Linked DNA regions of Mus musculus. The protein of the gene in region 3 purifies or fractionates together with the protein of the main gene of each other region. This does not show direct contact. Links are inferred from orthologs where the notes say so. Each region holds a gene or a part of one and is shown on either strand. Other genes may lie near its edges. The genes, in order: Recql4, Brinp1, Sirt1, Jun, Ect2, Hic1 and Zeb1.

Region 1 (4,195 bases), on a different chromosome or scaffold from region 3:
GGCTACACAGAGAAACCCTGTCTCAAAAACCCAACAATCAAAAAGAGTTGCCTTGGTCATGGTGTCTCTTCACAGCAACAGAACAGCAACTACGATGTGTTGATAAAGAGTCTGGACCAGGGCTGGTGAGATGGCTCAGTGGGTAAAAGCACCCGACTGCTCTTCCAAAGGTCCGGAGTTCAAATCCCAGCAACCACATGGTGGCTCACAACCATCTGACTCCCTCTTCTAGAGTGTCTGAAGACAGCTACAGTGTACTTACATATAATAAATAAATAAATAAATAAATAAATAAATAAATCTTTAAAAAAAAAAAAAAAAAAAAAAAAAAAAAAAAAGAGTCTGGACCATTAAGTTTCACTCACCTGCTACTTGTCCCAAAGGTCCCGGTGGGTAGAGGGGTGACATTGGGGTGGGGCAATGAGGCACCTGTAGCTCTGGCGCAGCAGGCTGTGTTTCCTCACCTGCTTAGATAGGCAAGAGAGGGTGATGTGGAAGCACCAGCAGAGACAGTGACCATCCTGGCATGATGGCCTGCAGTCACATCACCCATTCCCCCTCACTCACCAGAGTGGTGACAGGAAGCAGTGCCTGTCCTCTGTGCTACTTCTTCCAAGGTGGAAATGGGCTGTTTGTCATCCCTGTCACCTTCCTCTTGGACGGTCAGGGTGGGGCCTGGACCAGGGTCAAGGGCTGCTGGAGCCTTTCATTTGTGTAAGTGATTCCCTAGCACCCACGGTGGGCAAATGACCCAATACTTAAGGGAGAGGCTTACCTGGTTGGGAACACTGGGATGCCCAGTGACCAAACTGCCCACACCGGAAACAAGTGTCCTTGTCTGTGGCCCTGGGTCCACTTCCCCCAAACGCAGCTTGTTTCTTCTTCCACTTTTGCTTCCATACCTGGGGAAGGGCCACACATGGAAGAACCATTCAGGAGTAGACGGGAAGAGACAGGAGGAGGGGAGGGGAGGGGAGGGGGAGGGAGGAGGAGAGGAGAGGAGAGGAGAGGAGGCTGGCCTGTTCCATTCAGCACATCTCACCTGCTTACGGAGAAGCCTGCCCCGATTGGCCCCAACTCGTACAAAGCGTTTGTTTTTCATGTTGAGTCGAATATAGTTCCCTCTGTCTAGGGAAGCTGGTCGAGGAGAGGCATGGAGGTGGGTTGTGCCCTTAGCCTTCTCTGTCCTGGCCTGGTTTGAGGAATTGCATGGCTGAGGGACATTCACTTGTGTGGGTTCTCCTGGAGGGTCTTGCCCATGTACTGTAGCCCTGGCTCCCTCAGACAGGGGTCCTGCTCCGCTGCTGGGCTGGTCTTGTGCAAAGTCCTCCCCCTTCTCATTCCACTTCCGCTTCCTGCCTTTACTGTTGATGGATTTGGGGCTCTGTGACAAAACCTGGGCTGGCTGTTGGGCTATGGCCTCTGGGCTCTGTACAGATACTTCTGACTGGATGTCAGGATCAGCGATGTTCACCTTGCCTGACATCTGAGGCTGTGACTCCTCTGCACTCAGGTCAAGCCCACAAGCACCCGGAACCTCTAGAAGATCTGAAACTCTGTTGTGACACCTCTCTAACCAACCAGGGTCTAGGGAAGTCAACCTCCGGCTGAGGGATGATCGGAGCTGCTGGAGCTGGCCCAGCCTCGGCCGGGGCTCAGGAACCCGAGGAAGTGCATCGTCAGCTTCGTCTGGACAGGGGGATTCAGTCTTTGAGCCTGGTGGCCTTGGGGCAGGAACTGTGGACAAGGATCTCTTCTGAAGCTGGAGTTTTCTGCTCTGGGTTGGTCCAGTCTAGAAAGACAGAACAGCAAATCGGAATTCAGGACCTGGGTTACTGCAGAAGTTTGGGACAGACAATAAGAGTGGAGATGCCTGAGCACCGTTAGGAACCTAGTCCCAGTTATTACAGGAGCGTACGTGCGTGCTATAAGGAAGGGTGGACATAGAAGGACCCTGGCAAACCACCCAAGGGCCAAAGGCAGTTCTGGGTTCACCTCCACGTCTTACCTGTGTTGTGTTTTTCAGATTGGCTTTGAGCCTCTTCCCATAGTCTTGTACAGAACTCAGTAGGCTCTGTTTTGGCATAGACTGCGTATTCTGCGTTGCAGCTCGACTCAGGTGGGGACCCCAGCAGCTTGGCTCCTGTGCCTGCAGTAGATAGTAGCAACCTAGACCAGTTTAAAAGATGGCATGGGCACAGAAGTGCCTCTAAAGCTTCCCCTAACCCCCATGGGAGGACCTGGCCACCCAACTTCTGTGCTCCATGGAGGCACGGCTGCAAAATGCTCTCGGTTCCTGCCATTTGGACCACAGACCGCTGAGAGTGGGATTCACTGATACCTCCTCAGCTGCCTCGGCAAGTGATTGCTCTAGGACACGATGTCTGTCGTCAGCCTGACGCACCGCCTGCTTTAGGTTACGGTACTCACGGTAGAGCGCTGGGAAGGCAGAAGTCGGCGGTCAGGGGCATACCCACTAACATTCGCCCTGTCCCTGGTCCACCAGCCCAGTGCTCACCGCGGGTCTCTTCAGGTGCCGCCTCCACATCCCCCTAGGAGAGAAGCTTGTCAGCAACAGGCTGCGCCAGGATCCCCCACTTGCCGCCCCTGTCCGGACCCTAACTCCACCTCACCTTCGCTGGCCGTCGCCCGTGCAGCCGTGCAAAAGCGCGTTCCCACTCCTGTAGCCGCGCGCGAACGGTCGCGAGCCGCTCCATGGCAGCCCGAACGTGAGTTTAGGGGAAATCTCCCGCCGCCACCGTAAAGTCCTGTCCTTAGCCAATGAGAGCGGCCGCCGGGCGGTGCTGCAGATGCTCTGAGCCCCCCGGGGAGGGGGCGGGCCTATGAGTTGTTGCGTCATCACAGCGCGCCCCGGCGCTGCGCGGAGCTGGGCGAGGCTTGCTGGGCGAGGAAGGGTTGCAGGCCTTGGTAGTCGGGGAGGCGGATGAGCGGGGGCCGCGGGGCTGGGATTCGAGTCGAGCTGAGAGTCAAGCAGCCGTTAGTGGTCAGGGCACTTGGACGGCAGGTTCGACGGGGACTGGCGCTTGAAGACCACGGCTGAGGCGGATTCTCGGGAGGTGCCGCCGGCGCGCGGGGATGGGCCGCAAGCGAAGGGAGACCTAGGGGCGGGCGAGGCCGGTCTCGGCCTGTGGCTCCAGGCTCGCCCGGGTCAGTTGATGTTCCGGGCTTTTTGTTTTCTCCAAGGATCCGAGCGTGCGCGTCTGTATGCCGCAGAGACCGCTGTGTCCTGTGTGCAGTAGCATCACCCAGAAGCAATCCTTGCTTGGAGGCCAGGCGGGCTGCCACCGGTTCCTCTTATGACAGGTGTTTGGTTGGCTTGTCCTGTCAGTTAGGCAGTCCTATTATCTTAAGCTAGAGCCAGATCAAGGACAGTCACGCGGGGTTCCCCAGGGACGCGTGCCTTAAGGACTCGTAGGAGATGTTAGAAGCAAGCAAACCCTGGGCTTCATCAGTCTTTCTGGTCCCCAGTCTTGTCCCTTGCTGCGGCTTTGCGTAAGGCCTAGGCCCTGGTTTTCCATTCTGTTGTGGGCTGAGGACTGTAGCATAGTTCTGAGGGTAAGGTGTTTTGCCCACAGGAAGTCTACTGACCCAGGATAGCAAGAATCATTCAGGCTCAGGATCTTTTGTATGTGGCTTCTCAGCTGGAACGCTTTAGCAGTTTTGGCTTGGATCGTTATGAATCTCGTGAATTTAAGACATGGTTTCTCAGTGAAGAGGAGGTACCCGAATAGGAGACAAGGACCACAGAGGGTGAGAGTTGCTCTTCCTCAGGGATTTCTCTGCCTAGTTATACCCTAGAAATCCGCTATCTCTGGAGTTCAAACTCAGGGCCTTGGTCTCAGATGCTGCACACCATCTGTTCACAGGATCCTTTAAAAAACAAAAACAAAAAAAAAACCCCAGAGCCTGGCACTCACTAAGCTGTGTTAGACTTCTTTAACTCCAAAGGCACATCTACGTGGAGGGTCAGGATGTTAGGCTACTGGCTCTGGAGGAATCCTCTGTTGTCAGTCTGGTGGGAAGAGAGGTCTGGGATTTACTTCACTTTAGAAAATATTTACTTTCCCTAGTCGTAGGAAAATACACCATGTGCATGTGAAAGCTTCAGGTCAAAAGGGGGCACCTGCATCAGTTCCATGTGGCTGTGACATACCATGTTGGTTCTGGAAACCAG
Region 2 (3,500 bases), on a different chromosome or scaffold from region 3:
GCCAGTAAAGATAGAGATATTTCCAGCATCTCTGATGTTTCTGTGAGCAATGTTGGTGCACATGAGCATGGCTTAGTGAGCAGCATGCCTGAGTGTTCATTTGTAAGCACATAGTTGTCCATAAAAGCATCTATTTAACATAGATTGATAGCATTGTAGTTAATTCAGCAATTAACATAGGATAATATATAAATAACTCAGTCGGTAAGGCCACTCTAATGAAGAGACTCATTTTGTAAGAGATTATTTGGTGATATCGATCTGAGTGCTGGGTAGTGGGAAAATGGCATACACCGGTATGAAGCTAAGTATGTTGGTTATCTGCGTTCAGATGGTCTCTATCATGGTTCTGCTGACTTGAAAATCTAAGTGCACCCTCACGCTGTACCTTGATTGCTCCAGTTGAAATCTGGATCTCATGGAGCCTTCTCATGGTGCCATCACGGTCGACAAAGTAGGATGATGCAAGCTGGTGCAAAGCTTCAACACTTTGGGTAGCATTCCCTGACTTCCGGTCCAGGCGACTTTTGTCCATGTACATGGTCAAAGCCTCCTCTCCTGCATGGGAAAGCACAGATGAGAAAAGTTGCTCCCATTTCAGTGTGGGGGGAGGGGTTCCAGATCTGGGACGCTGAAAACAGACTTATGCTCCAACCAACTGGTCCGAATATCCCTGTACCTATAAAATCAAGGGCACAGTGGAGAAAATTGAATCCAGAAGTTGTTATAGATCCCATTAAAGCAATCGCCATAAATAATGCTCAGCAATCAAAGGCCATTTCCAAATAAACCGTACATATATATCAAGGGCATCGTCTTACCTAATGAAGTCATCTACTTCTAAGAAGTTTATAAGGGATTTGGCATAGATATTTTTTCCTTGCTCTTCTTATGTTTCCTCAACACAATTTAATTCTTCCTTTTCCCTTTCTCTACTGTTTTCCGGTCACTTCTTCACATCCTCCCTTCTCTTCTCACAGTACTCATTTTTAGACAGATAAATGACAGGTGATCGATATATAGATTAATGATAGGCAGATATAGGAAAGGGGGTGAGTACACAACTAAATACTTAGGTGGATTATGGAGAGAGAGAGAGAGGGAGAGAGAGAGAGAGAGAGAGAGAGAGAGAGAGAGAGAGAGAGAGAGAGAGAGAGAGAGAGAGAGAGAATGTTTTAGGTGATTGATGGACTGATGAATGGGCAGTAGGATTAAGATATGGTACAGCTGGGCCCTCAGGTAGTACTATGTCTAATTTTCTGAGGAACCGCCAAACTGCTCCACCATGTAACAAGGACACATGCTCCACTATGTTCATAGAAGCCTTTGGGTCCCCAGGAGCCCAAGTCTTGAGAATGAGACCCTGAGAAACACAGCTTGACTACAAATCACTGCAATGACAAAAAGTTTTTATTCCAACACGCATAGGGTTGTTCAGCCTTGCAGGGAGAGTCAACCCCGATTGTCAAAAGTACAGCTTCTTTATACTCTTTTGAAAAGGGGGGGTTCACAGTGATATCATTATTGGCTAGCAAAGCAATAGTATATGTCTAATTTTAGTGATCAGTTGTTGATGTACCAGAAAACGTTGTCTGCAAAGTTAGGGCAGTATGCGGTTTATCTTGGAATTCAAAGTGAGGCATGGATTCAAAGGACTATTATCTGTGTTATAGCTAATTTTTGAGAACTGCTAAGCTTGCTCCAGCAGTTGTGGTCATCATGACCTCTTAGTCAGTCCTCTCAGATGGGGAAGGGGCCAGGTGGTATTGAACTATTGAACTTGCTTATATTGGCAGGGAAAGGAAATATTTCTCAAGCCACAGGGGGAAGGGAAAAGCTTTTGTAAACAGCTTTGGTACACATTAGCCAAGCTAAAAAAATATATTTCTTCACCTTATTTTATAATAGCCAGAAGCTGGAGAGAACCCAGATGTCCATCAACAGAGGAATGAATACAGAAAATATGGTACATTTACAAAATGGAGTACTAATCAGCTATTAAAAGCGATGAATTCATGAGGTTCTTAGATAAATAGATGGAACTAGAAAATATCATCTTGAGTGCGTTAACTCAATCACAAAAGAACACACATGGTATGCACTCGCTGTTAAGTAGCTATTAGCCCAGAAGTTCAGAATACCCAAGATACAATTCACAGACCACATGAAGCTTGAGAAGAAGGAAGGTCAAAGTGTGGATACTTCAGTCCTTCTTAGAAGGGGGATGAAAATTCCCATGGGAAGAGATACCGAGACAAAGTTTGGAGCAGAAACTGGAGAAGAAGGAAAGGCTATCCAGTGACTGTCCCACCTGGGGATCCATCTCATATACAGTTACCAAACCCAGACACTATTGTGGATGCCAACAAGTGTTTGCTGACAGGAGCCTGATATAACTGTCTCCTGAGAGGCTCTGCCAGTGCCTGAGAAATACAGAGGTGGGTGTTCATAGTCATCCATTGGAAAGAGCACAGGGTCCCCAATGGAGGAGCTAGAGAAAGGACCCATGGAGCTAAAGGGGTTTGCAGCCCCATAGGATGAACAATAATCTGAACCAACCAGTATACCCATAGCTCCCAGGGACTAAACCACCAACCAAAGAGTACACATGGAGGTACTCAAGGCTTTGGCCACATTTGTAGCAGAGGATGGCCTTGTGGGACATCAATGAGAGGAGAGGCTTTGTGGTTTTGTGAAGGCTTGATGACCCAGTGTAGGGGAATGCCAGGACAAGGAAGCAGGAGTGGTTGGTTTAGTGAACAGGGGGAGGGGGAATGAGATAGGGGGGTTTTCGGAGGGGAAATGAGGAAAGGGGATAAAATTTGAAATGTGAATAAAGAAAATATCTAATAAAAATAAAAAATATTACCTTTCAAAAAAGATATGGATGAATTATATCTTACAGATATAAATACAATTATATGAATTTATATACTTTCTTCCATGAATTTTCCTAGAAATCCATATGTAGATTCCTAATACTACTCCTATGACTACTGAGCTATGATGATATTGGATGTACATAATAATCTAGTTCAATGTCAGATTGTGAAAAATTCTAGATAAGGTCAGCATGTAGACATGGCTACCACATTCCTGCCTCCATTTTTTTTGCTGACGCAACATGACCACATTTCTTAATTGTCCATCTTAAATATGTCACCCACTTTAATCATTAGTAATGTGGGAAAAATAAAAAAGAACAACAAACCCAGCAACAAAACTACAATTAAAATTCCCGTTGGGATTATGAGAAAGAATGGAGTAGTTAGGATACAACAACTCTCTTTATTTCAATTTAACACTCAAAAATCAATTAGCATTTGACTCTGCCTTCAGCTCAATGCTAGAACATGTTCTAAGAATGCACAAAGCAAGCCCCAAATTCAACCCCAGCCACCACAAGGGAAAGCTGGAAGATGAGAGAAGTAAGATGAGAGATGTGGTGGGTGAGAAGTCAGAAGACAAAATAACAAACCAAAGAGACAAAACAACCAGTC
Region 3 (4,131 bases):
AGATGGGAGGACGTGGTGAGCGACTCAAGGATTACCATGCAGGAGGCCAAGAAAAAAAAAATCTTACCAATACCTGAGCAACTAAATCTAAATGGTAAAGGTGACAGAGAATTTAAAGTTGGTACAAAAGCAGCTGTTGGGGTGGTACCAAATAACTATAATCCCCAGCATTTAGACACAAGATCAGAAATTCAAGGCTAATATGTGCTGGCTGGCTACCCAGCCAATGAGTTCAAGCCAGTCTAGGCTATACGTGTTCCTGTCTCAACAAGCAAGCAGACGAACGACAACAACCACAACAAAACAAGCAAGCAAAACCCCCAAAGGCTGTACACAGAAAGCAAAAACAATGTACAGAAGAAAAGAGGTGAGGACCTAACCTCAGGCACTGACAAACGGACATGGTACATACAGCACACCTATAATCCCAGCACTCTGGACTGCTGGTAAAGTCAGGATATCAATGTCATCCTTACATCCTAGACTCCACAAGTTTAAAGCCATCATAGGATAGATGAAAATGTCAAAAAAAAAAAAAAAAAAAATCAAGAAAAGAGAGAAGGAAGAGTAAGTCAAAAAGAGCTTTGGTTGTGATGTACTCCAGAGGCTGGGCAGAGACTGCAGAGTAGCTTAACTAGCTTGGGCTATAAAATATCTTGTCTCAAAAAGGAAGGACGGACAGAAGGACGGAAGGAATGAAGGAAGTTTGCAATTGTTTCAAAGATGCACATGCCTGAAGCATACCTATCCGCGGCCGCGGAGTCCAGTCACTAGAGCTGGCGTGTGACGTTCTGTCATCGTCATCACTTTCACAGGAATGAAAGCCATTAGTGAGGAGTCCATCGGTCAACAGGAGGTTGTCTGTCAAAGAGATCAAAAGGCTGCGGCTCAGACAATCCCCAGCTGGGCCCTGCGGTCCACACCTGCAATCCCAGGTACTTTGAGGCCCGTTTGGCCTGTATGGTGAGACACACACAGGTTCTTGAGACAAAAACAAAAAACCAGAAAGGCACAGAAGCACACACATCTGTAACTCCAGCACCTGGAAGGCACAGACATTGGAAACCAGCCTGACATATATAAAATAGTGAGTTCCGGACCAGCCTGGGCTAAACAGGGACCCTACCTCAAAAAATCCAAAATGAAGACACACACACACACACACAAATAAAATCTGTGTAGCCCTACAAAAGCAGCTCAGGGTTCCATGCCCAGGACAAAGAAATACAACTTCATGAAATGCATCAAATAGAAATTACTTCTAAATATCACTGAGATAAAAATCAATCCCTGGCTGTGTTCTCACTGCCCCAACCAGAGAAAGTCTCTTTCCGTAGCCCTTTCAAGTAGCAATCTACCTGCTTCAGCCACTGGGTGTTAGTAAATGTATGATTTAAAGAACACGAAGCATACTTTATGCGACTTGTTTCCCCTTTAATACCTGACATCAAGGGTCATTTCCTATTTCAGTCCCTAACACGTTTTGTTGTTTTTTAATTCATGGCACCATTATACGAGCCACAAACATCTACAAGGGCACTGACAGACTCTGATAAATTCTGTACAAAGCTTTTCAGGAAGACGATAAGTGGCATTATTACAAAAACAAAACAAAAAAGTAACCCAAACGTTTGGCGTCAATAGGGCAAAACCAAGCAGGTTTGTTTCAGGTTTGTTAATCTAAAAATGTTGCGAGCATGATTTTGAAAGGAAAAGAAAACTTACGAAAGTACAGTACAACTATAACTCCTCTATATCGAAGTGATAAATGCAATCGCAGAAAAGCAACATTTTTAGGAATAGCCATTTCCTTACATTTTTTAGACTGTGTCTCAAGAAATAGCTTTGGTGTATTAAAATTTCTAACTTCAAAAAAAGACATAGGTCTATCCAAAAAAGAAAAAAAAAAAAAAAAGCAACACAGGTGTCAGTTTGCAAAACGAAATCGCATGTCGATCCACGGGACAGCCCCAAAGTCGCAAAGCAAAGTGTGCAGTGAGGAAAACTATAACTTCACTAAAGGCGCATCGGGAGGGAAACCAAACCGAGGGAGGGAAAACTTCACTCTAACGCCAAACTGCGAGAACCGCGGTCCCGGCGACTGCGCGCAGCAGCGCAAGGCGGCCCAGGCGAGCGGCGAGTCCGCGCGCGGCTCCGCAGCAGGGCCGGCGAGCTCGGCGGCGCGCGGCCGAGCCAGGGCCGAGCTGCGCCGCTGCCGCCGCCGCCGCCGCGGAGCCCGCGGAGCTCTCGGGGCCCTGGGCAACCTGGGACCGGGTCACAGGCGGGGACGCGGAGGGACGCGGCTGCGCGGCAGCGCGCGCGGACTCACCTCGGTAGCCGATCGCTGCCGCCGCCGCTGCCGCCGCCGCCTCGTCCTCCTCCTCGCCCTCGTCGTCGTCGAAGTCGTCAGCCGCCCTCGGCTCCCGCCGCAGGCCGGACCCATTGTCTCCGTCCCCGGCCACGGCCGTCGCCGGGGCCTCCCGCTCCGCGCTCGCCGCCGCCCCTGCCGCCTCCCGCCACAGCGCCGCCGGGGCCGCGGCGCTCGCCGCCTCACACCCCGCGGCCGCCGGCGCCACTGCTGCGCTCGGCTCGCCCGGGCTGCGCCCGAGGCCAGGCCCGTCTCGGCGGGGCCTCTTGCGGAGCGGCTCGTCCGCCGGCTGCGACGCGGCCTCCATGGCGGCCGCCGCGGAAGGGGAGCCGGCGGCCTGAAGGGCGAGCGCCACCTCGTCCGCCATCTTCCAACTGCCTCTCTGGCCCTCCGCCCTCGCCTCCTCTGCTCCGCTCGACGCGCGGCACTGGCGCCCCCGCGGCTCGGCTGCGGGAGATTTAAACCCCGTCACGTGACCCGCCCCTCCCCGCCCCCGCGCCTCTCCCGCCACCCACGCGGGCCGGACCACAACACGCCGGGTCACGTGGCCGGGCGCCGCCCGCGGCCTGGGCCCTTCCCGGCCCCACCCAGGGCGGCTCGGCTCCCCTCAGCGGCCTCTGGCGCCTCCCGCCCGCCCGACCCGTTCGCTCGCTCGCTCGCTCGCTCGCTTGCTCGTCCGGGATCGCCGCGGTGGTTCAAGTTTGCGATGGCGCCGCCACTTCCCACCTGGGCCTCACGCGTGCACCTTGCCTGCCTGCGCCTCTTCGCCTCAAGTCGGCTTTTACCTCAGGGGCTCTGGAGAGCCCAACCTGGCCGACGCCGGCCTTCCTGAGGAGAACTCCTCCACCTGCCTTGCCCTTGCTCTGTGACAGCTCTTCCTCAGGTTACCCCTGTGGTCTCTCCTCAGGAAGTTTGCGCTCTCTCCCAATCTCCCTTCTCAAGTGCAATGGAATGCCCAAGCCAGCCCTCGGGGCCTGTTGCCCTCCTGGAAAGATCTGGCGATTGAGGACCCGCCCTATCTGCTCTCTGGACCCACCAGGTCCTCTGTACCTCGCTTTAGTCTTTGGTAAAATTCATCTCTTGGGGCAGCAAGAGAGAGGACAGAAGGGAGAGTGGTTGGTTCTCCACAAACTTCTGTGTTAAGAGTCAGATTGGGCCTGGGCTCTTGTGACTTGGGCGATTGACTGAACCTTTTCTAAGCCCAGTTTTTAATCATCTCTAAAATGACAGGGCCAGGACCGAAAGAGACTGTAGCTCAGTTGTAAAGTCACGCTTGCCAGACAACCCCGAAGCCCTAGAGAGAGGGAGGAAGGAGGGTAAGTTGAAGGTAATCTCCAACTACTTAGGAAGTTCAAAAAAGGCCTGGAATACATAAGACCTCGTCTCAAAAACGAAATTTAAAACGATAGACCATGAGAAATCAGCTAGTCAGGTTTAAAGTAAATGACATTAGTTTTAAAATCCTAGGCAGTTGATGGTGGCACAGGCCTTTAATCCCAGCAAGCTGGAGGAGACAGGAGGAGGTTCACTAGGACAGCCAAGGCTACACAAAGAAACCCTGTCTCGAAAAAATAATCTTACTTCTAGAATTGTAGAAATGGCTCTGTAGTTAACAGCACTTGTTGCTCCTGCAGAGGCCCTAGGTTTGACTCCCATCATCCACATGACAGCTCATACCTTCAGATCTGACACCTGCTTTTGGTAAACACAGACATGTATGGAGCCAAAAGACCCAAACACATAAAAATCCTCTTTGTTGTTGT
Region 4 (4,020 bases), on a different chromosome or scaffold from region 3:
TTCCTACAATCAGACAGGGGACACAGCTTTCACCCTAGTATATTGGGCACTCAGCTGTCACTTCATCTAGCTATCATTATCTATGGATAATGCAGCAAAGAGGTTGGGGGCTACTTTTCAATAGTTTATTGTATTTTCTTAAATATCCTTTCTGGAAATTTTCAGAAACAAAACATAAAAAAATTATATACTTTATTACAAATGGTAAACTCAGAATGCTTCAAATCTCTTATTTACAAACACTGGGCAGGACACCCAAACAAACAAACATGGAATAACTTACAAAGGCAGGAAGCTGTTTATTGACAGTAATCAGCTTTCATCAAATTAAAAAAAAATATATATGTACATACACAGTTGAGAGAGGCAGGCCAGGGGAGTTCATCTGCAGTCTAGCCTGGCACTTACAAGCCTCCCCCCCCTTCCCAGCCCTCCCTGCTTTGTGTTAAGGAGCACTACAGAAGCAATCTACAGTCTCTATTGCAGTTTGTAACCCCTCCCACCCCCCTTTAATACTGAATGAGATCGAATGTTAGGTCCATGCAGTTCTTGGTCAATGTTAACGAAAAGTCCATCGTTCTGGTCGCGCGCGGGCACAGCCCGTCCGCAAAGTCTGCCGGCCAATAGGCCGCTGCTCTCTGGCTCCACGCCAAAGCCAGGCGCGCCACGTCCTTCCCACTCCAGCACACTGGGGGCGCCGTCAGGTCGCAACCCAGTCCATCTTGTGTACCCTTGGCTTCAGTACTCGGACACTTTTTTTTTCTCTGTCGCAACCAGTCAAGTTCTCAAGTTTGTCTCTGTTATTTTTTTTCTTCCATTGCCCCTCAGCCCTGACAGTCTGTTCTCAAAACGTTTGCAACTGCTGCGTTAGCATGAGTTGGCACCCACTGTTAACGTGGTTCATGACTTTCTGCTTAAGCTGTGCCACCTGTTCCCTGAGCATGTTGGCCGTGGATGCCAGCTCGGAGTTTTGCGCTTTCAAGGTTTTCACTTTTTCCTCTAGCCGAGCGATCCGCTCCAGCTTCCTTTTCCGGCACTTGGAGGCGGCAATGCGGTTCCTCATGCGCTTCCTCTCTGCCTTGATCCGCTCCTGAGACTCCATGTCGATAGGGGACAGGGGCGGCGTCTCTCCCGGCATCTCCGGCACGGTCTGCGGCTCTTCCTTCAGGGCTTGCAGCCGCGGGTGCTGCACCGGGATCTGTTGGGGCAAGTGGTGCGGCGGCTGAGGCGGCTGCTGCTGCTGCTGCGGCTGCGAGGGAAAGGCCAGCCCGGCCGCGCCATAGGAGGGCGCCCCACCGCCGCTGCTCAGCGCACCCGGGTTGAAGTTGCTGAGGTTGGCGTAGACCGGAGGCTCACTGTGCAGGCTGGCGCTGTAGCCACCACCGCCGCCAGCGCCTGCTACTGAGGCCACCGCGGGAGCCACCATGCCCGCCCCGCTGACCGGCTGTGCCGCGGAGGTGACACTGGGAAGCGTGTTCTGGCTATGCAGTTCAGCCAGGGCGCGCACGAAGCCCTCGGCGAAGCCCTCCTGCTCGTCGGTCACGTTCTTGGGGCACAAGAACTGGGTGGGGGTCGGTGTAGTGGTGATGTGCCCATTGCTGGACTGGATGATCAGGCGCTCCAGCTCCGGCGACGCCAGCTTGAGCAGCCCGACGTCGGGCGACGTGAGAAGGTCCGAGTTCTTGGCGCGGAGGTGCGGCTTCAGACTGCCCACCGGGTCGGCCAGGTTCAAGGTCATGCTCTGTTTTAGGATCTTAGGGTTACTGTAGCCGTAGGCACCGCTCTCGGACTGGAGGAACGAGGCGTTGAGGGCATCGTCGTAGAAGGTCGTTTCCATCTTTGCAGTCATAGAACGGTCCGTCACTTCACGCGGGGTTAGCCTGGGCTGTGCGCAGAAGTTTCGGGGCCGCAACAGCGCGCCGGGAAGCGGGGGGATACCCGCGCGTCCCCGCTTCTGTAACAAAGTTTGTTTAGGAGCGTGCGCTCCAGACGGCAGTGCTTCCCCCTGAGCCCTCCTCCCCAGTTCGCTCCAGGGAGCGCAGGGTTAAGACTCCGCTAGCACTCACGTTGGTAGGCTCCCGCGCGATGCCGAGCTTTGAAAAGTCGCGGTCACTCACGGAGCGCTCTCGGGGAGCAGCGGTTCCTTGGAGCCCGCAGACCAGTCCCAGCAACAGCGGCTCTCCGGCGGTGCTGACCAGTCGTCACGGAATTCTCGGTGGAAGCCCGCGATCGGGCTCTGCCGCCCGGCCTCCGACAACTGTCCCCTCCTCCGCTGTGAGGGGGAGGGGGACGCTAGGCAGCCGCGGCTAGCGCTCGCCCAACTTCAGCCGCCTGTGCGAACTGGTATGAGTATAGGTTCCTCTTCTCCCTTTTCTTTACAGTCTCGGTGGCAGCCTTAAGGCGCAGAAGAGATTTGCAAAAGTTCGCTCCCGGCCACTTGTTACCGGTCCTCTGGGTCAGGAAAGTTGCTGGCCGGTAGCCGCTCGCCTATTTCCTCGCGCGGTCGGGAGCCGCTCTCGATGCTGTCAGCAGCGCCCGGACTTGTGAGCTTCTTCTCCGTGGAAGGCGGGAGAAGGGACTCTCCAAATGCTCCCCAAAATACCGGTGCAGGAGCCGCGGGCGCTGGATCCAAGCAGTTGGTGAGAAAATGAAGACAAACGGATGAACAGTCCGGAGTCCGCGGCCGACCGGGTTGGCCAAGTCCGTCCGTCTGTCTGTCTGTCTGCCTGAGCGCTCTCCTGCCAGGCTGTCTCTGCCACACTCAGTGCAACTCTGAGTCCTTATCCAGCCTGAGCTCAACACTTATCTGCTACCAGTCAATCCCTAAAAATAGCCCATGATGTCACCCCGAGGCTTTCCCATTGGCTTGCGTCGTTCTCAGGGGGGCGGGCCCACCCGTCGCCATGGAGACCTCACCCTAGAAGATTCTTCTCTGGGCCCGCGAAGGCTCACGGGATGAGGTAATGCTCCGCTGCGCTCCTACAGTTGGGCCCTTCTTTCTCCTCCTCCCCCCCCCCCCTCCCGCGCTCAGCTTCGGCTTGTGTTCCCGGGTTCCCTCCCCGGCGCGTCTTTCCCGGCCCGCCCGGTGCATTGTGGGCTGACGTCTTGGTTTGGCTGTCTAGTGACGGAGGCTGCCGGTCGGCAGGACCCTTGCGGAGTCTGTCGGAGGCGGGCTCAAGTTCAGGGCTGGGGACTGGGACCGAGACGCGGGGATCCAGAAAGCAGGGGAGGCGCGCTAGTGGCCGGGGGCGGAGAGCTTGGGTGGGAGTGAAGGTTGCACACAGGCGCGCGCCCGCGCGCGGGCACACACACACACACACACACGCACGCACGCCCGAGAAAGGGCTGAATGATCTGAGTGACTGAAGCTGGCTCCGCACCCCCGCACTTCCGGGGGACAGAGCGATGCGGGTTAAAAGGGTTGTGTGCGCCCTGGGTGTGGGAGCACGTAAGTGCGTTGAAGTTGAGCGGGTTTGAGAGTAGCCCTCCAAGATGAGTATGCTTGGAAGTTTAGTTTCGGAGAAGGATCTGCGCCGCAGTGTGCTGTACCTGGAAACCAGAGATTTGCGGTGTTCGGAACCGACTCATCAGGGTCCCCGGCACAACACTTTATTCTCTGGACGTGCCGGGGGAGGGGTGTTCGCTTTGCCTCCGAGGGACCCCTCCTCTAGGTGTGAAAGATGCTAGCCCAGCGCCCATGGGGTGTCGAAAGCAACATATAAAGGTTCGAAACTCAGGAAACCTCGGCGATCGCCTGCGCTAGCACATACACACGGTCCCGCGCACACTCAGTCTGCGCCCGCCCTTCCTCCCTCCCTGATTTGCTTCTGGGAAAACAAGCCTTGAGAGCTGCGGACTCGCCCCAAGTCACGGTGCTTAAGCAGGAGTCCCTGGTAGAAACAGGCTGAAAACTCCCCTCCCCGCTCACTGGTGGAGTCATATCCTGTGCGGCCTCTAGGAAGCGCTAGACACATGTAAGTTATTTCTTTTCTAAGGTTCTGCTATCAGCCCTCCACCCTC
Region 5 (3,500 bases), on a different chromosome or scaffold from region 3:
CAAATATCAAAACATAATTGCTTTGTAATTGAGATGCTAAAATAACATTTTAAAATTACAATGAATGACCATGTGGAGGCCAGGGCAGCTGTGGGAGGACTGCTCTCTCCAGCACAGGGTCCCTGGGACTGAACTCAGATAATCAAGTGCTCTCTATCTCCCTGATCTGCATCTTACAGATACTCACTCGTGTGTTTTGAACACTTTCACAACCACAACTCCACCAAATTTAAGTAAATGCCTCATCATAGGCTCTACAAAACAGAATTGAACAGGTGAAAACCAGTTTTGTAAGTTACTGTGCACTGGAGAAGTGGCTCAGGGATAGGGGAATTGACAAGTAGGTGCAAAGCCCTGGGTCTGATTAGTAGCAACACACAGGAGAAAGAGGAGCTGCTCATGTCTTACAAACTCAGGAGCAGATCACCTAAAGCACTTCATTTATTTAAAGAAAAAAGAAAAGATTTCCTAAACCAAGACCATGACCACACAACACTAGTACTGCTTAACTAGAAAGCACAACTTAAGGTAGATGTGTAGTGGGGCCTTTTCAGACCTACAGAAAAATCAAATACTAGTCAAGTTAAAAAAGGAAAACTTTCCCTTGGGACAGGATGTCACCAAAAGCGTTTACAGGCTCAGTCTCCAGCTGGGCAAGAGTGGGAGGTTCTAGATGGCTAAGGACATGCCATTTCACAGCTCAGCCATGAGGCCCCATCATGTGCTCTCAGACATGATGAACCATGTCACCACCATTCACAGCAGTGAGACCAAAGAATGGATTGAACTCTCCAAAATCATCAGCCAAAGTATCTTTAGAAATGCATTATCTCAGGACTCTTGTTGCAAGAGAAAACTAGCACACATGTACACATGCCTACTTGTATTTTATTATTTGTTTTTGAGTGACTCATTACGTACCTATAACTGGACTCAAACTCAGAAATCTGCTTTCTTCTGCCTCCCAAATGCTAGGATCGGAGTGAGCCAAGACACCCATCTTTTTCATATGTATGTGTATGTACTTAATCCTATGCCAAGTTACCAGATACTGTGGGCTATTTATTTGATATACATCTACTAATAATCTCTCTTTTCTTTAAAAAAAAAATGGTGTGATTGTCTATTCCTATGCACACTCTCATGCTAGAGTATGTGGACTTTAGTGAACAAATTGTGGGAATGAGTTCTTTTCCTCCACTATGTGGGTGACAGAGACTGAACTCAGGTCACTCTTGGCAGCAGGCACCTTTACACATTGGACCGTCTTGTAATCACTCCCACAACCCCCTTCCCAAATCTTAAAGACATTCCTGGAGCAGGAGAAATGGCTCAGTGGTTAAGACCTCATAGGCTGCTCTGCCAGAGAACCTGGGTTCATTCCCAGCATCCACATGGCTCACAGCCATCTTAACTCCACTCCCACGGGGATGTGTGTCCTCTGTCGGCCTCCGTGAGCACTGTATGGATGAGGCACACAGACATGGACACTAAATAAACATCCATACATAATGGGAAAAAGAAAGAACCCAAAATGCACCATTGGTGAAAAAAAAGTATTAAAATATATGGTCCTGAATAAAACTGGTCGTTTATGTTGGATTTTGAAGAATTATTAGTAAGTTTTGATGTGGGAATAAGACAAGCTAAGGTGCTATTTTAAAGCATAGCCATGTAAAAGTTGTTTGACTTTTAAGAGAGGATATTCCTCAAGATGGTGTAACACTTTCATTAGAAACCATGAAGACATCAGTCTGCACCTAGGGAAGGAGCTGATGGGGAGCCACGTGTGAAGAAAATGGATACATTAATGTATACATAGAGAAATTACAGTAATAAAGCTAAGGCTCAACGAGGACAAGCGAGTTAAGTTAAGGAACGCTTCCTCCATGAGCTTACCTTCTGTCTCTCGGATGTCCAGCACCTTCTTAATCTGAGAAAGAGGCATGAGATGAATGTGCTTCAGAGAAGCGGGGGGCCGGGTGCGGTCGTGAGGACTTCTAAAAGTGCCAATAACCTTGTGCCGCTTTCTTGCTATCTGATTGTAGGGGGAAAGTCAATCATTATTGTAATAAAGCCAAATTTCAAACATTTAAAAATAACAGCGTCAATCACATAAATGTATAGGCAACTAATCTGAAGATTAGCCATGCCAGTTACTATGCAATAAAAGCAAGAGACTGACGAAAAAGCACACATGTAATTATGTAGCCAGATGCTCATGTCCATATTAGGAAAGTTCACAATCAGAAAAGCAGGCCTAGGGATAGAGAGCGCAGAGAGACTCCAGAGCATGAAAGGACAAGACCACGAGGGACAGCAACAGAGGTCTAGAATAACAGTCCCAGCCCCACAGGGGAACAGTTGTTCTGGGGCAGGAGTCTAGGGCTCAAAATGGTGTTAATTTTAGTTTAAGTTAAAAAATTTGAAATCTCTCCTAGTAACAGAACACACAAGAAGTGTGAGATCGGTCCTGTCCTCAGGCTTGCTTACAGAAGCCTGCCAAAGGGAAGCTGCAGAAAGATAAGCATCCACCCGAAACCCCAGCTCTAGGGGGCACTGCAGGAGAGCGGGACTTTCAGTTCCAGGCCACCTCGAGCTACACAGTGAGGCTGTCTCAACAGATCAACAACAGCAACAACAACAACACACACAGAAGCAATAGGAATTATAAATCCACAGTGCTGTATTAGGCTATAACTTTACCTTAACTGGATACCCATGCAAAAGGAAGAAATAGGGAACTGGAGAAGAGCGAAATCAGAAAGAGCTTGTGATTCGTGATATAGTGAGATTTTGCCAAAAGGAAAGAAAAAGGAAAGAAAGAAGAAATCTCCTTTGCAGTAATTCAGATTTTACTGAAAGGCATTATTAACACTAAATGAACATAAATATGTACTTGAATTGAGATCGGTCATCATGAATATGAGAGACACAGTTAAAAATGTATTACCTGGTATTGAGCTAATGAATAAGATAAGGTAGTCAGTATACTACAACTACACTAAAGCAGACACAGATGTGTCTATTCCACATGTCACACATATATTATAATAAATTATATACATATCTTATATATAAATTATATATGCATTTGTGTATAAAACAAATACAAAGGCTCACACACATATCGTGAAAAGTAAGCAGCGGATACTGATTCCTGTGCAATGAACAGATATGCTTTCTTTTTGTTTGGCTAAATGAAATATATTATTTTAAGATTAATTTTTAAAAAGGAAAGAAGAGTATTAAAATTGATAGTACAAGTACTAATAAACCAAGGATAAAAATAAAAACCCAAAGCACAGATAAAATATTCAAATGGAAAATAAATTCCTCAAAGTCATCTGTCATATTTAAGAAAATACAGATGTACTAATATTCAACTGTTCTTAATGTACAGGTATAGTGATTGCTCTTGGTTTTATATTATATAGAAGTATTAAAAGTAACTTTTTAATTTCAATTTTACTGAATTTTATTTTTCTTAAGTGAGTGAA
Region 6 (4,120 bases), on a different chromosome or scaffold from region 3:
GGTGCGCTGATTGTTGAGCTGCAGCAGTAGCTGCCTCGAATGGCCAGGCGCCTCCATCGTGTCCAGCATCGTCTGCCCAGCACACTCTCCTGCGGGAGACACACACCAGCTGGGTAAGAGCTACGCAGTGCGGTGCCCTGGCCTCTTGTACCCAACCCAGTCGGTTCCCCTCCGCTTCCCCTTCCCCTCAGCTGATCAGGGGCATGGAGCACCACGGCCTGAACAGTAGCCGAGGAGGATCAGCGGCCTCCGGGAGTGGAAGCCTAGGCCCGCCGGCCCCAGACAGAAGGTGCAGGAGGAGAAAGGCTGTGGATGGAGAGTAGGCCAGGTTAGCCTATCTGTTCCAGCCCCAGATGCTCCTGGGCACTCAGGCTGGGTCCTGGGAACTTCCAGGGAGAAATCTGTTTAGGGCGAAATGACCCTTTCGGAGACAATTACCCGATTTAAGTAAAATGTCCGCTTCAGGAAAAGTCATTCAGGGCCGAGAAGTTTGCCCAAGTGGGGAGACAAGGAGCCGAGTTAGAAGCGCCTCCCGCCTCGAAAGAAGTTGCCCCGGTTAGGGGAAGTGATAAGGAAGACGGGAGCAAGATGCCCATCGAGGCACCGCCCTGGCCCGGGGCTGTCAGGCCTTCGTTAGGGCCGGCCGGCCCGGCCCGGGGAGCGGAGACAGTGGCTGCGGTGGCGGGCAGAGCGCGAAGGCCGGGCCCCGGCGCGGGGAGGGCGTTATATCGGGGCAGGAGGCTGAGGCAGGAAGCAGGTGGGGGGGAGGGGGGAGCCACGCAGCTCCCAGGGGAGGGAGGGGGCAGCGCCCCGGGCGGGCACGGCGCACAGCCGGCTGCGGCCCTGACCCTGGCCTGCGCCCCACCCGCGTTCTGGACCCAGCCGGGGCCTCGGCTCCACATCTCTTCCCCAGCTCCCCTCCGCCCCGTCTCCCCCGAAACTCTGCCGCCTCAAACTTCGGGGAAAACTTTCCCAACTTCAGACAGGGCGGGAGGAGCGCGCCGGCCCCAGCCCCCCTCCCTGGCCCCCAGTTCCTCCTCTGGGCCCCCAATTTCAGCAGCCTGGTGGCAGTGGGGACCCACACCAAATCTAAAGCCGCCCTGCCCTCCGGCGAGCACGCCCGCCCCTGTTCCCCGCCTGGCCCGCAGGGCCTCGCCGGCCCGTTACCTGCGGCGGCCGCCCAGCCCGGCTTCCCTCCCTGAGGCGGTGGCAGCTCCTAGCCTGCGCCCCACCCGCCCCGCTGCCAGGCGCCGAGCTGTGCCAGGGCAGCGCCCCTGCCAGCCCCGCCCGCCGGCTCCCCTTGCCTTCCCCTCTCCTCCCCAGCCCATGTGCGGGCAGAGCCGGCCCCGGGCCGCTGACCCCGCCGTGAACCCGGCGCCGAGCAGCGGCCCAGCCGTCCCGAGTCCTCTAGGGAAGACACTTAGAGCCCCAAACGCCAGCCGCGACCCGGGCGCCCACGCCTGAGGATGCTCCCGAGGTAGCCGGCGCACGAGGACCAGATTGTCCCGGGTCCCTTGCCCTTCCCTGTCGCCAACTCGAGGACCCACCTGGGGGGCATGTCGGAAGCCCCGGGCCCGGCTGCCGGCGGATCCAGGGGGGGACGTGGCTGCAGTGCGCTGCCCTCCGCCCGCCGGGCCCCCGGTCGGTCTGTCTTGCCGGTCCGTCCTCCCCGCGTCCTGGTCGCGTCTCAGCCCCTCCGCGCTTTCCGCACACTCTTATCTGGAGCGGCCCGAACCGGCAGACGCTGCCGCGGCCATGGCGCCACCTCGCGGCCACGCGGGGACTGTGTGCGGCTGGGCTGCGACCTCTGGCGCACACCTGGGCCAAGAGGCTTGCAGATGCGGAGCTGAGCAGATCTTGCAGGTTCGCGCGCTTCCAGATGTGCCCACCTGGAGACTCAGATATCGGACCTGGGAGTCCCATAAACCTGGGGGTTTTGTGCTGAGTGCTCCCGAGTACATATTTATATGTTATATCGCGCCAATTCGGGGGGGGGGAGGGGAAGGTTCTGTCTTCAAATGAGGAACTCTTAAGCCAGGGATGGTGGCGCATTCTTGTAATCATCCTAGCATAGCACCCAGGAGTTGGAAGCAAGAGGACCAGGAGTTCAAGGTCAGCCTCTACTACCTGAGACCCTATCTTAGAAAAGGGGTTGGGGTGGAACACTACGAACAGTATTCTGTGAGAGGGCGAGCTTAGAAATCCTAAGTGAGATGAAGGTACATACGTTCGGAGCAGGAGCGGGGCGGCTTTTATTAGACATTTCTGAACACCATTATTCACTTGGACTCAGTGGAGAGAGACACATTCCAACTCTCCCTCAGACACATGTTATCAGTATGCACATCATAAACCGTCCACACTCAAACTCTGTCCAAGCAGTGACAAGGGCGCGCCATGTTTACACAGACCGCCCACCCCCTCCCGGAGTCCCAACTTCTTGGGCTACTGCGGAGGCTACTACGTGAAACGGGGTAGAGGTCCTACCAAAGAGCCCTCCCCGAACTTGCGGGTCTCCAGAAGGACCCTAGAGCCCTCCATTGGAAATAGCTGGACAGAGCCCCCTTGCGACGTGCCCCTCAAGTCCCCAATCCCCCATCTAAGCAGTTTTGAGGGATCTTAGTTTGCCCCCCCCCAATACACCATTCGAGAGATATCACGAGAACGGGCGGCTTGAGACCCCCTCAAAAAAAGATCCTACACGCCACACAAGGGAGAGCTCATTCATGTTGGTGACTCCTCTTTTAGGAGGGAGGGGAGCGTGCACCAGCTCTTGGGTGCTCACCGGAAATGTCCCTGCATAGCGGGGCGGAGGCATAAGCACCGTTGCAAGCACCGCGCCTCCGTGGCCCACGCTCCGCCTCTTCCCCGCACCTCCTGACCCCCGCCCACGCTATAGGGGGGGTCCCCCCAAACCGCCCACAGCTTCTTATTGGCTGCGCCATCCTCCGTGGCCAAGCCGGAGAGGCTGGGGCTCAGAGTTACTATGGTAACCAATGAGGTTCCCGGGATCTCATCTCTCAGAGGCCTTGGAGAGCTTAGCAACCGCGCGGGGCGCAGGGCGGGTGGGGGCTACGCTCGCCGCACCCCACGCTGTCTTCGAGCCCCCACTCCCCCGCTTGAGGTAGTGGCTGAGTCACTCGCCCGGGGCAGCCGGCCGGGCCTCTAGCTGTACCAGTGAGACACCAAGGTCTTGGGCGCCTCCTAGAGGCTGCGTTTCTTTGGCAGGAGACTTCTATGCCTGGCCTAGGCTTCTGGTCCAAAGAGTCTTCAAGGCTCACCAGGTTTCCGCGACAGTGTGCTCCGCCTCCATCTAATCCACTTACTACTTCGTATCTCCGTACAGTGTCCATACAAGACAAACACTGCAGTCCCACGGTGGACTCCACAATTTCTGAGCTCTAGGAGAAGTGAAGAGGTACCTTGGTATCTCTGTCGAGGGATACGCCTTGGGGCTGAAGCGGAAGTGTAACGGAGCGTTTGAGGATAAGAAGGCTCCCCAGAAGTGCTCTTAGGGATGAGTTTTGACAACTCTGAGTTCTCCCACAAGCAAGGGTGTCTCTGATGTCTCTGTTTTAAATGTTTTCTCCTTTTAATGGGGTTAGATCGTGCGAGTCTGGAGAGAAAGCTCTGTATGTGTTTTACACAATGGAGTTTATCCGCTGGTTGACCCATAAGGAGGTCGGCTGGGTCTTCAGTTCCTTCTTGTTCTATCCCTCTCCACCGACTCAAGCCCTTGTTGTATCGCTATGGGGCCAACCACATAAACCTTGCCCAAGTTTCACTGTGTACTCCCCTCCCCTCCCCTCCCCTTCTCTCCTCTCCTCTCCTCCACGCCCCACCACCACCACCACCACAGTTTCAAGTCTACGGCTAGCCTCGAACTCACAAAGGCGTCTACTTCCCACGTACAAGGATGCGCACCACCATGCCCCTCCTCTTAACTTTGCTTTCCCCTTCTTCCTGAGCTCCTCTGGTCATCCTGGTGCAGCTTCCTCCTCTCCGTGAACGCATGACGACCCCATTTAGAGCCCGGAGACAGAATCGGGCTGTTTTGGAGGACCTGTTCCATATCGTATTTGCCTTTAGTCTATTCTGACTCCTTTAGAAAGGAGTCCCA
Region 7 (3,500 bases), on a different chromosome or scaffold from region 3:
TAATCAATGAGCTTGATAATTCACCACTCATTTCCAATTCATCATTTACTATGCTTTTCTTTTTTTCTTTTTTTTTTAAGATTTATTTATTTATTATATGTAAGTACACTGTAGCTGTCTTCAGACACTCCAGAAAAGGGAGTCAGATCTCGTTATGGATGGTTGTGAGTCACCATGTGGTTGCTGGGATTTGAACTCCGGACCTTCGGAAGAGCAGTTGGGTGCTCTTACCCACTGAGCCATCTCACCAGCCCTTACTGTGCTTTTCATAAAAATTCTGCGTTTCACTAAGAATTGAGACATAGTTTAGACAATGTCTTTAAAGTGTGTCCTTCATCCTGGAGGCCTTTGTACCAGCTCCCTTGGTCTGGCGAAGAGGGATTTGCTTTGGTCCATACTTTCCCTGGAATGAGGAGGAAAAGTGTGAGAGGGGCTGAGATTTTTAAATAGGAGTAGCTGTCTGTAAAAGAGAACCCTTACAATTTTCATAAAATACACAAGACATGACATAGAACCTCAAGATGGTCTCAGAGAAGTCACTTTCAGAAAAGGCGCTTTTCTCAATGGAATAGTCCTGCAGAGAGCCTCTTGAAGACTTAGGTCACCTATGACCTTTGGGTCTTTCCTAGAGTCTCATAGACTCTGTTCTTTTGAAAGCTCGATATGACAAGCAAAGCCAGTCATTTATCACTAGCTGCCAGTGTAGAAGTGACTCTACTTTATAGCTCTTGATATAGTCCAAGTCACTTGAAATGGTAAAAGCTCTGTTTTCTTTAAATTCAAAGGTATCAAGAAGGGCTGGGAAGATGGCAGATAGTGGGGCCAGCCAGTCTAGACAAAATGGTAGGCTCCAGGTTCAGGGAGAGACCCTGTCCCCAAAATATTAGAGTGATTAGGAAGACAGTCACTGTCAATCTCTGGCCTCTACATGCACACTCATGGGTGAACACACCTGTCCATACACAAGTATACATCACACACACACACACACACACACACACACACACACACACACACACCCCAGAAATCTAGTGCCATTAGTCATGGGCATGGTTTCTTTATGAGTTACTACAATTCTGGAGATGCCAATGAGTGAGTGGCAGTCACAGGAGGCCACAGGGCAAACCTGAGCAGGACACAGAGCAACTGTAGCTGTGCCTGCAGTAAGATCAAACAGCCATCTCTGGCATTTGATCCAATTAAAGGGACTGATGAAAAAGTGGCGATATCAAGCCTAGTGTCATGGGAAGATTCTGGATAGACAGTGAGAAACAAATAGCAATACAGCAGAGTTCTACCCAGAACCAAACAAAGCCAGGCCTCATGAGGTGTGGCACTCCTTGGCCACAGGCACACCTCATGAGTACCTACAACCAAACACTGTATCTGAGTTCCAGAATACTCTGTTTAACCAAAGGTTAACCTAACTCCTAACAAAGGAGTTGGCACACGAAGTACCAGCAAACCCTTTCTTGGCTTTATGGTGAATGGGAACATGGTTGTTTAATAGTGATCATAAGCAAAGAAGAAACTCACCAATCTGAAAATTTAACTAGAAAACCACCACTCTAACTAATGAGTAACACATTTTGTCTTATGCTTCTAAGCTCAGTCAGGTCTCCAGCTGAGTTCATGCACTGGTTTTCAGAGAATACACTCTCAACTGTGGTTGATGCCCTAAGGCAGCTGAGTAGCAAGGGAAGGAAGGTATCCTGCCATGCAAGGAAAGCAAACCCATAAGTTCCATTTAAACATGGCAGCTGTAACAATCTGGTTGATTCTACAGAGACAGAGATTTCTTCACTAAAAAAACTTAGGTTAATGCTTTACTAACCTGGTTTCCGTTTGGCTGGATCACCTTCACTGGCGGCTCCTGCACGGCAGGGCTCACAGTAGCTGAATATGTATATGCCACTTGGGGAATCAGAATAGTCTGCTTGTTGGCGGCCAGTGCTCTTAAACATGGAACACTGTTCTGGTCAGCAATGGCCACGATTGTGGGTAACTGGGCAGTGACTGTAGGAATAGCAATGTTTATGGGGTTGGCACTTGGTGGGACTACATTTACAACTGGTTCTGAGTCTGTAACACAGCTGTCCTTTTGTGGTTCCTTTTTTGCACAAGACAAGTTCAAGGGTTCTTCCTGGACAGAATAAACACTGTTCTGGTAAACGCTACTGACTGTCGACCTTTCCAGTAACTCTCCCTGTTGCTTTGGTAGTGAGAGATCAAGAGGTTCTACTTGGGGCTCCTCCTGGGCACCCTCTGCCACACAAGAGTAACCCTGCGGGTTCCTGGCTGAGCAAAGGTTTAGAGGGGATGGGGATGATGTGCAGCTTCTGGAACCGTTCATGGCTGATCCTACAGGTAAAACCGGAGAGCTCCTTATCTTGACAGGACTCTGTCCGCGTGTGCTGTCTTCCTGGGGCTCATTTCCATCCGCAGGTTGAGGCTGCTCATCGGTTTTTGTAGGTATGTTTACTGACCCGGTTCCAGGAGAAGGGGGGTCAGGAGACTGTCCTGGAATCTGTCCAGCTTGCATCTTTTCAAACCACTTTTTAACTCCATCCAGCGGTAGGTTCACAGAATCGGCGATCTTTGAGAGCTCTTCTGTGCTTGGCTGCGCGTTCAGAGCATAGTAGGCTTTCAAGAGTGACAGAAGGTTCTTTAAAGGTGGCTGACTGGGAGACAAATCTCCGTTTCCAGCTGATGAAGCAGAGGACTCTGGCTTCTCGGTGGCTGGGGCAGGGGGTGGAGGCTGAGCAGGGCACTCTGGGTCATAGTGCTTTAGTTCTGGAAGTGCATTGAGGTCCCCTGGGCAGTCCTCACACAGAAGGCAAGTGCTATCATCCCTGGCCCCCTCAAAGCTTTTGTCCGTTTCTGATTTGACAGTAAGGTCTTCTGGTAACTTCTCACTTTTGCAGCTGTTTGTAGGGGCTGGGATTTCTTTCTTTAAATTCTGGGGAACAACCTGAAGTTGACTGGGCTGCTCAAGACTGTAGTTGATGATGATTTTGGTTGTTCCATCCTGATCAACTAAAGGAAGACTGATGGCAGAAATGACAGAATGGCCACCCTGCTGGATGGGCGAAGCACTCACTGCTTCTTGCTCTTTGGATGCAAGACTGGCTTGATTAGTCTCCAAGACTTGTCGTATTACGTTACCATCTACAGCCACTTTAAGTACATTCTGAATGTCACTTAAGTTGATACTTATGGGAGATACCAAACCAACTGTTGGCAGAACAACGGCTTGCACCACACCCTGAGGAGAACTGGTTGCCTGCAATTGGCCACCACTGCTAAAAACCCCATTTTGTAAAGGGGTTGAACAGTTGATTCCTGAAGCAACCACTATGGGTTTGAACTCATAATCCACAGGTTCAGTTTTGATTTGGTTTACAGAAAGCGGTTCTTGAAGGGGTTTATTCTCTATCTTCTGTCGTATCTGTGGGCGTGTGGGACTGCCTGGTGATGTCGAAAGAGATGGCGAGGAACAC

The links.
Region 1: the proteins of Sirt1 (region 3) and Recql4 purify together in Homo sapiens (affinity purification with mass spectrometry; 3 studies listed by BioGRID). This does not show direct contact. The link is inferred for Mus musculus from reciprocal best matches to the Homo sapiens genes SIRT1 and RECQL4.
Region 2: the proteins of Sirt1 (region 3) and Brinp1 purify together in Homo sapiens (affinity purification with western blotting; 6 studies listed by BioGRID and IntAct, with this or other methods). This does not show direct contact. The link is inferred for Mus musculus from reciprocal best matches to the Homo sapiens genes SIRT1 and BRINP1.
Region 4: the proteins of Sirt1 (region 3) and Jun purify together in Homo sapiens (affinity purification with mass spectrometry; 4 studies listed by BioGRID and IntAct, with this or other methods). This does not show direct contact. The link is inferred for Mus musculus from reciprocal best matches to the Homo sapiens genes SIRT1 and JUN.
Region 5: the proteins of Sirt1 (region 3) and Ect2 purify together in Homo sapiens (affinity purification with mass spectrometry; 3 studies listed by BioGRID). This does not show direct contact. The link is inferred for Mus musculus from reciprocal best matches to the Homo sapiens genes SIRT1 and ECT2.
Region 6: the proteins of Sirt1 (region 3) and Hic1 purify together in Homo sapiens (affinity purification with western blotting; 4 studies listed by BioGRID and IntAct, with this or other methods). This does not show direct contact. The link is inferred for Mus musculus from reciprocal best matches to the Homo sapiens genes SIRT1 and HIC1.
Region 7: the proteins of Sirt1 (region 3) and Zeb1 purify together in Homo sapiens (affinity purification with western blotting; 4 studies listed by BioGRID, with this or other methods). This does not show direct contact. The link is inferred for Mus musculus from reciprocal best matches to the Homo sapiens genes SIRT1 and ZEB1.

The regions. Positions count from the first base shown.
Region 1 is NC_000081.6:76,707,760-76,711,954, forward strand, and holds the start of Recql4 (ATP-dependent DNA helicase Q4), read right to left. Parts: upstream 2,801-4,195; 5' UTR 2,718-2,800; coding exon 2,634-2,717; intron 2,553-2,633; coding exon 2,519-2,552; intron 2,440-2,518; coding exon 2,342-2,439; intron 2,170-2,341; exon of another isoform or gene 2,150-2,169; coding exon 2,009-2,149; intron 1,793-2,008; coding exon 1,043-1,792; intron 903-1,042; coding exon 776-902; intron 676-775; coding exon 568-675; intron 468-567; coding exon of another isoform or gene 465-467; coding exon 366-464; intron 1-365. UniProt on the Homo sapiens protein: An ATP-dependent DNA helicase which unwinds dsDNA with a 3'-overhang in a 3'-5' direction. Does not unwind more than 18 bp of dsDNA. May modulate chromosome segregation. The N-terminal domain (residues 1-54) binds DNA Y-shaped DNA better than ss- or dsDNA.
Region 2 is NC_000070.6:68,828,898-68,832,397, forward strand, and holds part of Brinp1 (BMP/retinoic acid-inducible neural-specific protein 1 precursor), read right to left. Parts: intron 559-3,500; coding exon 389-558; intron 1-388. UniProt on the Homo sapiens protein: Plays a role in neurogenesis and brain development. May suppress cell cycle progression in postmitotic neurons by inhibiting G1/S transition.
Region 3 is NC_000076.6:63,336,236-63,340,366, forward strand, and holds the start of Sirt1 (NAD-dependent protein deacetylase sirtuin-1), read right to left. Parts: upstream 2,801-4,131; 5' UTR 2,736-2,800; coding exon 2,330-2,735; intron 862-2,329; coding exon 745-861; intron 1-744. UniProt on the Homo sapiens protein: NAD-dependent protein deacetylase that links transcriptional regulation directly to intracellular energetics and participates in the coordination of several separated cellular functions such as cell cycle, response to DNA damage, metabolism, apoptosis and autophagy.
Region 4 is NC_000070.6:95,049,423-95,053,442, forward strand, and holds the start of Jun (transcription factor AP-1), read right to left. Parts: upstream 2,801-4,020; 5' UTR 1,850-2,800; coding exon 845-1,849; 3' UTR 1-844. UniProt on the Homo sapiens protein: Transcription factor that recognizes and binds to the AP-1 consensus motif 5'-TGA[GC]TCA-3'.
Region 5 is NC_000069.6:27,115,879-27,119,378, forward strand, and holds part of Ect2 (protein ECT2), read right to left. Parts: intron 2,039-3,500; coding exon 1,900-2,038; intron 1-1,899. UniProt on the Homo sapiens protein: Guanine nucleotide exchange factor (GEF) that catalyzes the exchange of GDP for GTP. Promotes guanine nucleotide exchange on the Rho family members of small GTPases, like RHOA, RHOC, RAC1 and CDC42.
Region 6 is NC_000077.6:75,167,456-75,171,575, forward strand, and holds the start of Hic1 (hypermethylated in cancer 1 protein), read right to left. Parts: upstream 2,801-4,120; 5' UTR 2,065-2,800; coding exon 1,548-2,064; intron 1,192-1,547; exon of another isoform or gene 1,168-1,191; intron 698-1,167; exon of another isoform or gene 476-697; coding exon of another isoform or gene 439-475; intron 90-438; coding exon 1-89. UniProt on the Homo sapiens protein: Transcriptional repressor. Recognizes and binds to the consensus sequence '5-[CG]NG[CG]GGGCA[CA]CC-3'. May act as a tumor suppressor. Involved in development of head, face, limbs and ventral body wall.
Region 7 is NC_000084.6:5,766,360-5,769,859, reverse strand, and holds part of Zeb1 (zinc finger E-box-binding homeobox 1), read right to left. Parts: coding exon 1,835-3,500; intron 1-1,834. UniProt on the Homo sapiens protein: Acts as a transcriptional repressor. Inhibits interleukin-2 (IL-2) gene expression. Enhances or represses the promoter activity of the ATP1A1 gene depending on the quantity of cDNA and on the cell type.